3 linked regions of the Callithrix jacchus genome follow. The protein of the gene in region 1 interacts with the protein of each later gene in a pairwise test. Links are inferred from orthologs where the notes say so. Each region holds a gene or a part of one and is shown in the gene's direction. Other genes may lie near its edges. The genes, in order: TRIM63, CKM and MYOT.

Evidence for each region.
Region 2: the proteins of TRIM63 (region 1) and CKM interact in a two-hybrid assay, tested with the Homo sapiens proteins (2 studies listed by BioGRID). The link is inferred for Callithrix jacchus from reciprocal best matches to the Homo sapiens genes TRIM63 and CKM.
Region 3: the proteins of TRIM63 (region 1) and MYOT interact in a two-hybrid assay, tested with the Homo sapiens proteins (2 studies listed by BioGRID). The link is inferred for Callithrix jacchus from reciprocal best matches to the Homo sapiens genes TRIM63 and MYOT.

Annotation. Positions count from the first base shown.
Region 1 is NC_133508.1:62,720,211-62,723,960, reverse strand, and holds the start of TRIM63 (E3 ubiquitin-protein ligase TRIM63), read left to right. Parts: upstream 1-1,514; 5' UTR 1,515-1,654; coding exon 1,655-1,813; intron 1,814-2,715; coding exon 2,716-2,888; intron 2,889-3,750. UniProt on the Homo sapiens protein: E3 ubiquitin ligase. Mediates the ubiquitination and subsequent proteasomal degradation of CKM, GMEB1 and HIBADH.
Region 2 is NC_133523.1:39,484,332-39,487,817, reverse strand, and holds the end of CKM (creatine kinase M-type), read left to right. Parts: intron 1-625; exon of another isoform or gene 626-739; coding exon 740-863; intron 864-1,626; coding exon 1,627-1,816; intron 1,817-2,347; coding exon 2,348-2,526; 3' UTR 2,527-2,882; downstream 2,883-3,486. UniProt on the Homo sapiens protein: Reversibly catalyzes the transfer of phosphate between ATP and various phosphogens (e.g. creatine phosphate).
Region 3 is NC_133503.1:36,291,521-36,295,170, forward strand, and holds part of MYOT (myotilin), read left to right. Parts: intron 1-453; 5' UTR 454-664; coding exon 665-1,020; intron 1,021-3,650. UniProt on the Homo sapiens protein: Component of a complex of multiple actin cross-linking proteins. Involved in the control of myofibril assembly and stability at the Z lines in muscle cells.

The DNA of each region.
Region 1 (3,750 bases):
CACTGCAGCATACCACGGTTTAAAGCGCTCTCAGATGGTCTTCACCATAGGCCTCCTGCTACCACTTGATCTCTGCTTTTATTTTACTGCACCATAGTTTGGAGTTTTCTTAATTCAGTATTTGATCCATGGCACAAATCTCAGTGTATAAAAAACAAAACAAGCTTGTAATCATTTAAGTAACACAGGTCTGCCCCTGGCCATCTTTTCCTACATGCCAACATGGAAGATATCCTAGAAACATGGAGAAAAGTTAAAATATGTGCAGAGAGCTAAGGAAAGCCTCTGGCTAACTTTTTTTTTTTTTTTTTTTTGAGACAAAGTCTTGCTCTGTTCCCCAGGCTGAAGTGCAGTGCGGTGATCTCAGCTCACTGCAATATCCATCTCCCCAGTTCAGGCAATTCTTCTGCCTCAGCCTCCCAAGTAGCTGGGATTACTGGCATGTGCCACCATGCCTGGCTAATTTTTATATTTTTTTGGTAGAGATGGGGTTTCACCATGTTGGCTAGTCTCGAACTCCTGACCTCAGGTGATCCACCTGCCTCAGCCTCCCAAAGTGCTAGGATTACAAGGGTGAGCCACTGTGCCCGGCCCCCTCTGGCTAACTTCTAAGTGTCCAGGCAGGGATTTGTGGCACCGCATGAGGGTTTTTCCTTTCTATCTCCCTTCCTGGGGTGTGAGTTTCTCAGGGCAGGGAAACCAATCACTCATCCATCTGTCACCCTATAATGTATATTAGTTGCCTGATATACACTAGTACTCAGAAAAATGTCTGATAAATGAATAATATTCCTGGCTTTGCCACTTACTTTTTTTTTTTTTGAGACAGAGTCTTGCTCTTATCACCCAGGCTGGAGTGCAGTGGTGCAGATGTGAGCCATCACGCCCGGCTGCCACTTACTTTCTAACTGACTTTGAATATAATCCTTTTCTTCTCTAGTCCCATTTCAAAATCTATAAGACAAGGGGCCTGGACTGCATTTCAGCACTAAGTGAAATAAGTGGCTGAGGGATGCAGGATGGGCTGGGGGAGGTCGCTACCATTGCTACCCAGCAAAATGCTGTGCTGAGGTCTGATGCAGAGGGATACAGAGGGGCTGCCTGACCCCTCCATCTAGGAGCTGCCCAGGACTCCAGAGGAGGGGATGGAACTGATTTAGGTCAATGAGGGGGCACTGGCTATTAACCCCTTGAATCCCAGTGGCTCACTTGTTGGGTCCCATCCCTGACCCACTAGCCTGGTGCCGGGGGGAGACCAATTTCTGGAGGAAGCTCTGGGTACCCAGTCTTCCCCTAAGCCTGCCTCTGAACAAGCTGTTCTTGTTTATGACCCCCGTCCCAGCAGAACAGTGATTGCTCATCCTTGCATGTGATTTGAGAGGGCCAGTCTTTCAGGTCTGGAGGAAACTCAAGCCCCACCAGCCGCTTGGCATCGGAATGCTCAGCTGGTCTGCTCCTGGGGCTCATGTGACCAAGATCCAGCTATAAATATCAGAGGGGCCTCAGACTAAGACAGAATTCGGGCACCAGGAGAAGGAAGCCAACAGGATCCGACACAGTGTTTCCTGACAAAGGCAAGACCCCCGCCCAGGTCTACTTAGAGCGAAGTCAGTAGAGGAGGCAACTAGGTGCGGCTCTCACTCTGACCCACAGAATGGATTATAAGTCGAGCCTGATCCAGGATGGGAACCCCATGGAGAACTTGGAGAAGCAGCTGATCTGCCCTATCTGCCTCGAGATGTTTACCAAGCCAGTGGTCATCTTGCCGTGCCAGCACAACCTGTGCCGGAAGTGTGCCAACGACATCTTCCAGGTCAGTGCCAGGGGCAGTCTCATCTGGGGGCCTCAGGTGGCTGCTCAGCTTACCTGTGATGAAACCCTTCTTCATGCTTAGCCTTCCAAGCGGGATGGGCTCTTTCCCCTTGGAAGTGAACCCTTACAGAGGCCTCTGGACAGGGTTGAGAGGGGCTGGGAGGCAGCTCTGGCTGTCACCGTCCTTCTCCATGACGCATGTTTCCCCTCCCCACCCTGCCCATAGCTCCTCCACCCCTACCCTGAGCACTGCTGTTGACTCTCCAATCAAGAGTCAAATGCCTCAAGTGATAAGCGGGGGAGGCAGGGGACAGGAGAGAGAAACCAGACCCGTGGGGCTGGAGCCAGCTCCTGGTGGCAAGAGGCCCAGAGCTTTGGGAGGAGGGTGTCAAGGAGGCAGTGGGCAGTAGAGGCTTCTTTCCTTTCGAGGCTGTTCCCTACAATATGGGAGCAGAAGGGGCTTTAACTCCCCAAGAAAGGAAGGGGGCAGGTGTCCTGGCTAGGTAGCAGGATGCGCGGTTCCCCAGGGGCACTTTACAAAATGTGTAAATTTTCACAATTTTATCTTAATAGTAGCAGCCCTAGGAGCTTGCTGTAATTCTAATACCCACTTCATAAGTGGGCAAACTGAGGCTTAGAGAGATAAGGTTGCTTGCCCAAAATCACTCGGAGAATAAATGCGACTTTAACCCAGGTCTGCTGCCTCCCCGTCCTGATAATTGCTTAGCTGCTTCTCAGATGTTCCATGTGTGAGGACTGGTTCTCACTGCAGCCTGCCGAGCTCCAGGTCCTCAGATTTGACCAGAGTGGTTGAGATAGGTAGAGGAAAGGGTAAGAGGAGATTAGAAAAGGAAAAGGCTGAGGAGGGACCCCAGACCTCACCTTGACCTTTGCCACCTGCAGGCATCAAATCCCTACTGGACCAGCCGGGGCAGCTCAGTGTCCATGTCTGGAGGCCGTTTCCGCTGCCCCACCTGCCGCCACGAGGTGATCATGGATCGTCACGGAGTGTATGGCCTGCAGAGGAACCTGCTGGTGGAGAACATCATCGACATCTACAAACAGGAGTGCTCCAGGTCGGTTCTCATGCCTGCTGGGGGTCCATCCTCCTTCCCAGCCATGCTGTGCCCAGCTCCCCCAGGCTCCTTCCCCCTCCTTCATCTGCTCAGGATCCAGGCCCCTAGCTGGACTAGTTACACAAGCCAGTTCAGAGACAGGATTGGAGACCCATACACCCCAACCTGGCTCTCAGATCACTCAGTGGATGGGAAGGGACCCAGACATGAGGCTGCCCTTCCAGGAGAGACTAAGACAGAGACTCAGGGAAAGTTGAGATGTGGGAGGGAAAGAAAAGCCCTGGGGCCAGCTAGTGGCTCTGGTCAGCAGAGAAAGTGCCCAGTGGGAAACAGCCAGGTTGTCCATAAGGATAGCAATGACTACTCTCCCGTGTGCCAGGAGGAAGAGTTCCAGGCACTGGGAAGGCTTCATCTTAGCACCTCCCAATCATTCTGTGGATCAGGCATGACTCTATTATCCTCATTTCACAGATGAGAAACTGAGGCTAAAAAGGTGAAGTCAATTAGCTAAGGTTTCCCAGCTGGGAAGTGAAAGAGCCAGGAGTTAACCCAGTCAATCTAGCTCTGAGTCTCCATGTAATAAAATAGCAGCTCATTCACAGGCAAACTGTGTGAGAGGTGGAAGTTGTACCGTGTTGGCCTCAAACTGGGGAGAGAAGGCCAGGCGTGGTGGCTCACACCTGTAATCCCAACACTCTGGGAGGCCAAGGTGGGATGACAGATTGAGGCCAGGAGTTCAAGACCAGTCATGGCAACATAATGAGATCCTGTTTCTACAAAAATTAAAAACCAGCTGAGTGTGGTGGGGCATGCCTGTAGTCCCAGCTACTAGGAGAATTGTTGAGCCAGGGAGTCAAGGCTG
Region 2 (3,486 bases), on another chromosome or scaffold:
GGATTACAGGTGTGAGCCACAGTGCACGCCCTCAGATTTTTTTTTTTTTTTTTGAGACAGGGTCTTGCTCTGTTGCCTAGGCTGGAGCACAGTGGTGGGATCATATCTCAGTGCAGCCTGGATCTTCCAAGGCCAAGCGATCCTCCACCTCAGCCTCCCGAGTGGCTTGGACTACAGGCGTGCGTGCCACCACGCCCGCTAATTTTTAAATTTTGTAGCTATGAGGGTCTTGCCATGTTGCCCAGGCTGGTCTTGAACTCCTGGGTTCAAGTGATCCTCCAGCCTCGGCCTTCCAAAGTGCTGGGATTACAGGCATGAGCCACCGCACCCAAGCATTTCCAGATTTTAATATTTTATGTTCTAAGATTCCACTTCCGAGATGCTAGGATTGGGAGCTAACACAGTGCGATGGGAAATCCTACATCAGGATTTCCAAGATGTTATCAATTCTGAGTCCAAGCTTCTGTTTGTCAAACTTCCTGAGATCCCAAGGATCTATAACAGTGCTGTTCAAAGATTTAAGCCCCTAAAAGCCCTTGATCACAGGATTCAAGGTTTTGCAGGTCCTGTGACGTTAGTCTACAGGTTTAAGCTTCTGCGTTTGGAGGAGGTAGATGCCACCCACCTTCCAACCCTCAGGCCTGCCTCCCCCGGGCGGTGGGCCGAAGTCTGGGAGAGGGGTGGGAATGGGTCCCCCGGAGCTGACACCTTGGCCTCTTGCTGTGGCACCTTACTCTAGGCACAATGACAACAAGAGCTTCCTGGTGTGGGTGAACGAGGAGGATCACCTCCGGGTCATCTCCATGGAGAAGGGGGGCAACATGAAGGAGGTCTTCCGCCGCTTCTGCGTGGGGCTGCAGAAGGTGGGTGTCCACTCTTTACTGCCGACTTCTGACTCCACCTGGAACGCCCCACCGGCTTTCCGAGGCCCCGCCCCTTGTCTATACTAAGCCCTGCCCCACCCACTTTCTAGGGCCCTGCCCCCCGGATCTGGCTCCACCCCTATACCAAGTCCCGCCCCTCAAAACAAGCCCCACCTACTTTCCAGGGCCTCGCCCCTCGACCCAGCACCACCCTACGCCCAAGCCCCGCCCTTAAGGACCCGCCTTCAGGCCGGGAGCGGAAGCTCAGGCCTGTAATCCCAGCACTTTGGTAGACTGAGGAGGGCAGATCACTTGATGTCAGGAGTTCAAGACCAGCCTGGCCAGCATCGTAAAACCCTGTCTCTACTAAAAAAAAAAAAAAAAAAAAAAAAATTAGCCAGGCGTGGTGGCGCCGCGCCTGCAGTCCCAGCTACTCGGGAGGCTGAGGCAGGATAATCACCTGAACCTGGGAAGCGGAGGTTGCAGTGAGACGAGATCACGCCATTGCACTCCAGCCTGGGTGACACAGTAAGACTGTCAAAAAAAAAAAAAGAAAAGAAAAATCGTTCTTAGTCCCTGCCTCCTCAAAATCTTGCCTTGGTCACCCTTGTCTAGCCAGTACCCTCGGAATCTCCTACCTCCTGGTTCCCTCCGAATCCCATCTTCACCCACGTTCCCACGCCTTTCTGGACCCTGCCCATGTGGCGGGTGCATTTGGAGGTGCCTGCTGGTGCTGATCCCTGGTCCTCTCCCCCAATCTCAGATCGAGGAAATCTTTAAGAAAGCCGGCCACCCCTTCATGTGGAACCAGCACCTGGGCTACGTGCTCACCTGCCCATCCAACCTGGGCACTGGGCTGCGTGGAGGCGTGCATGTGAAGCTGGCGCACCTGAGCAAGCACCCCAAGTTCGAGGAGATCCTCACCCGCCTGCGCCTGCAGAAGAGGGGCACAGGTGCGATTCCCACATCCCCTGCACCACGACGGGTGGGGCGGGCCCTTTCGGGAGTGGAAAGGGAGGCTGGACAGCCCCATGAGTTCTGGGTATCCGGCAAGGGCTGACCGTCTGTGAGCCTGCATTTCTTCCTCGTAAAATGGGCGCCAACACGCCCACGTCATAGGAGTCAATGAGGGATTTTCACGGTTATATAATATGCATTGCGTATGCCCTTGCACCTCTCTCGAGTTTCCCCATTTATAAAGTGAGGAGGGGTCAGGATTCGATCCCACGCCGCCTGCCTCTGGAACCCACTCTCTTACCCACTATACTATATTTTCATGTTGGATAATCGAGTGGTGTGGTACCCTATCTAAATCCAGAGACTTGTAAGCCCACGACTAGACAGGCATTACCTGTGTGCAGGTAACCTGTTACACAGTAGCCACTCAACACATGCAGCTGTTGCATTTGGCAAGGGGACCACCACATCCTAGCCACTCTGCAACCTTCGCTGTCTCCTCATGCCCCTGTCCCTTGCTCCTACAGGTGGCGTGGACACAGCTGCCGTGGGCTCAGTATTCGACGTGTCCAACGCTGATCGGCTGGGCTCATCCGAAGTAGAACAGGTGCAGCTGGTGGTGGATGGTGTGAAGCTCATGGTGGAGATGGAGAAGAAGCTGGAGAAAGGCCAGTCCATCGATGACATGATCCCCGCCCAGAAGTAGGCGCCCTGCCCAGCCACCACCGACTGCTGGAACCCAGCCAATGGGAGGGCCTGGCCCACCGGAGGCCCGCCCCCTCACTCCTTGCCCCGCCCCCTTTCCCGGAATCCCACCCTGTGATGGTTCTGTCTTCTGGGGGCTCTCTCCACCCTTCTCAGACTTCCAGTTTCAACCAGAGTTCCAACCAATGGCCTCCATCCTCTGGGTTCTGGCCAGTGAAAAATCTCCCTGGCAGGGTCCTCTTCTTTTCCTAGAGCTCCGCCCCCAACAGGAGCTCTAATTAATGGAGCGCTCCCAGCACATCCGGAGCTCGTACTTGTCTCCACGCAAAGCAATAAATAAAAACAATGGTGGCCTTAGCTTTGTGCGATAGTTATTGAGGGAGGAGGTGTAATTGGCCACTGTGCGGCCTCGGAGAGGTTTGTCTTGTCTAGGCATGTACTAAACATGTCTTATCTCAGGTCTAAAATGAGGCAAAGTTAGGTCACAGAATCTAGTCCAAAAATTAGAAGGCTTGGCCGGGCGTGGTGGCTCACGCCTGTAATCCCAGCACTTTGGGAGGCCGAGGCGGGCAGATCACCTTAGGTCAGGAGTTCCAGACCAAGCTGACCAACTTGGAGAAACGCTGTCTCTACTAAAAATACAGAAATTAGCCAGACATGGTGGCAGACGCCTGTAATCCCAGCTATTTGGGAGGCTGGGGCAGGAGAATCGCTTGAACCCGGGAGGCGGAGGTTGCGGTGAGCTGAGATCATGCCATTGCACTCGAGCCTGGGCAACAAGAGCAAAACTCTGTCTCAAAAAAAAAAAAAAAGAAGAAAAGATTTAAAAAAATAAATTAGAAGGCTCTACGGGGAATCTGAGACCTCAAGAGGCACTAAGCCCAATGTCACTCTCCCAAAGCATGGGCCCTTTCCAACTCTAGCTTTGAATTAGCCATGCTCAGATCTCAATCCCAAGGTC
Region 3 (3,650 bases), on another chromosome or scaffold:
CTCAACAAAGAAGGATTTTTGCATATGAAAAAAAAAAAACATCCACTCAGCTGGGTGCAGTGGCTCATGCCTATAACCCCAGTACCAAGGGAGGCTGAGGTGGGAGGACTGCTTGAGGCTAGGAGTTTAAGACCAGCCTAGGCAACATAGTAAGACCCTATCTTTACAAAAAAAAAAAAGAAAGAAAGAAAAATTAGCCAGGCATGGTGGTGGCTTACACTTGTAGTCCTTCCCGAGATTGCCTGTGGGAAGATCGCTTGTGCCGAGGAGTTGGAGGGGCTGCAGTGAGCTATTATAGCCTAGGCGACCAAGCAAGACACTGTCTCAAAAAAAAAAAAGAAAGAAAGAAAGGAAAGAAAAAGAAAAGAAAAAGCACATAAGATCTGAAAGATGTCAAATAAGCAATATTATTGTTTAAGCAAATATTGTAACAATTATTTTCTCCTTTTGAAGGAACAATATTCTTCAAGAGAAGCTCACTCTACCACAGCCAGGAGCACAGTATTCTCAGGATCTGAACGAGGAAGAGCAGACCAAGGTTGCTTCTGATTCCTGGCAACCTTCCATAATTCCAGGCTTGTGGCTCCAAAGTCAGGGCTCCACCCTTCCAGGAACAAATCATTATAGTAATAACGTGCCTTCATCTTCCATATACCAACTAAGCATGTTTAACTACGAACGTCCAAAACACTTCATCCAGTCTCAAAACCCATGTGGCCCCAGACTGCAGCCTCCTGGACCAGAAACCTCCAGCTTCTCTAGCCAGACCAAACAGTCTTCCATTATCATCCAGCCCCGCCAGTGTACAGAACAAAGATTTTCTGCCTCCTCAACAGTGAGCTCTCACATCACCATGTCCTCCCCTGCTTTCCCTGCTTCTCCCCAGCAGCCTGCTGGCTCCAACCCAGGCCAAAGGGTTACAACCACCTATAACCAGTCCCCAGCCAGCTTCCTCAGCTCCATATTACCATCACAGCCTGATTACAATAGCAGTAAAATCCCTTCCCCGATGGATTCCAAGTAAGTGAATTTTTACATATTGCATGTACAGTGAACTTGTATCTGAGGAGTTTGCAGCGGGGTGGGGGTTAGGAGTTTTAGGATTATGCTGCAGTTCATTTTTTACTATCTAAAAAGGCAATGTGACCTTACAGTCTCATTCCATAGTTCTAATAGAACATGCTGAACCAGCATACTGGTAATAAGAGATCATCTGACAATTCTCCAGTGTCCAGGCTGAGCTGAATCCAAATTACCTATTACCCCATAAAATTATTTACCCATTATTTTCCATCTTTGAAAAAACAATTCCTCACATACCTAAGAACAATGAACTTTTCCTTTAGTTCTAAGCTAAGCTCCTCATGCTGTAAATTTAATTCCTCTGGTTCTGGGCTCAGCTGAGATGAACACCTGTCTGCTCATCTTCAGATAGGATTTCCTCCTATCACATAAGCAAAGGCTATTAAGTTTCTTCTCAGTTTTTCTTCCTTTCCCTTTTCCCCTCTAATCCCGAACATCCACTTGGCTGAAAAAATTTTAAATTAACAAATAAAAAAAAATCTGGAACTCAGACTTTTGAGTGTATACATTTTCCTTACTATGATCAGAAGGAGAGCCTGAATAGATGAAGGCTTATGACCTTAAGGTTTCTTCTGTTAATTAAAACCACACCTTGTTCAAATTAGTTGGGTTGATCTAAATACAGGGACTAATACTGAGGCCTTATGAAAACATGTGCTATTTCTACTGCCCTAAGACTGTTCTAGGAGAACCTGATATGAAAAAGGACATGATGGTTAGGCTTTTTTTAAAACATGAACTGAATACCTTGTGCTTATGCAAACTAAAGGCTATCAGATTTCCTGTTCCTTGGCTGGCTGGAACACTCAGAGAATTGAATCAGAGGCATCTCAATAATTGTCCAATGGAATATGTTTTGTTGCAGGCTTACTGATACATTCACTCAACTCCACTAATTTCTCGCAATCTTCTCTAGAGGCTAATTTTTCTAGAAATTTCTATTTTTGGTGACAACTTTGGAAACCTAGTTGAACCGACTATAGCAATTCAGCTTGCAAAAAAAAGTTTCAATATTTAAAAAACTAAAAATCAGGAAAACCAAAAACATGTTAGAATCCTACAGATACTGAGTCGAACCATTTGAAATGGCTGATAATCAACTGTTTTTGACCTACAAAAATAGCATTCTCGTAGGTTTAACCTAATATTTTAAAAGGATGCTTTCAATAATTGAGAGCCCTTTCTTTCTCTTCCCTCCCAAATTCCCTTAATATTCATGATATATAGTAGATTTTTCCTGGTTACATTTACCCTGATGATCATTTTCTATCTAGCTTTCTATTGTTTCCATATTTCCTACATAAGCATTTTAAAATGTAAAACAACTTTTTCTGTTTTTCTTAGTAAAGTCTTTCAGTTCTATTCCAAATTACTCCCCATAAAAGAAAGTTATTGAAAACCTAAGAAAAGAGAAAGAGGCCAGGCATAATAGCTCACACCTATAATTCCAGCATTTTGGGAGGCCAAGGCGGGTGGATCACCCGAGGTCAGGAGTTCTAGAACAGCCTGGCCAAGGCCAACATGGCGAAACTCCATCTCTCTAAAAAATACAAAAATTAGCTGGGCACAGTGGCAGGCACCTGTAATCCTAGCTATTTGGGAGGCAGAGGCAGAAGAATCGCTTGAACTTGGGATTCAGAGGTTGCAGTGAGCTAAGATTGCATCACTGCACTCCAGCCTGAGAGACAGAGCAAGACTCCAACTCAAAAAAAAAAAGAAACAGAGAGAGAGAGAGAAACGCAAAACTATAATAAGAAATAAAGCCTAGGAGGTCCCCAAACCAGAGATCAAAGATCCAGCTTTAGCTGTTCCATTTTCAGCAACCACAGATAAATCTTTAATCTTCCCATAGCCACTTGATACCCATTTTGTCCAGCTGTACAGAGTGGAAAGCCCTGGCCCTTTGAACATTTGTGCACAACTCCCTCATTGTTATGAGGGGCTCCAATTTGCCCTGACTTCCAAAATGATCCCTTGGATTCTGACCTAGAGAAGTCTGAAACCTTTATTTAGGTTTTCATCAATAGGAAGCTCTTAAGCAAACATTTTACCCAGTTGATCAAACTACAGACTGAAAATTGAGGGGAACTCAATTATTCTTCCAAAAAGCTTTCAATATGAAATTCAGCAAGCACTTTACTACCCAGTGCTTCAGTTTTCTGGTCTGTAGCAATATTAAGGAATTAGGTAATTAATCATAGAGAAAGAACCTATAAAGCAGTGTGCAAACATACTATTAGTTTGTAAATAGGAACATTTATCAAGTCCTAACACTTAAGCTAACTAAACTGGTAATAATGAGGGTATTCAGTGAACAAAGTAACTGAGGTTACATATACATCGGTGATTCTCAGGATTGATTTTGATAATCCTTCAGTATTTTTCAGATATATTAAGAATTTCCCAGATAGGACAAGTCTAAAAACAATTATTTAATGTAATTCGCATTAACAAATGTGTGACTTACAAAGATGGTAAGCTAGCATTAAAAAAAAAAAAAAAAAAAAAAAAAACAGGTGGCTCACACCTGTAATCCTAGCACTTTGGGAGGCCAAGGCCGGCAGATC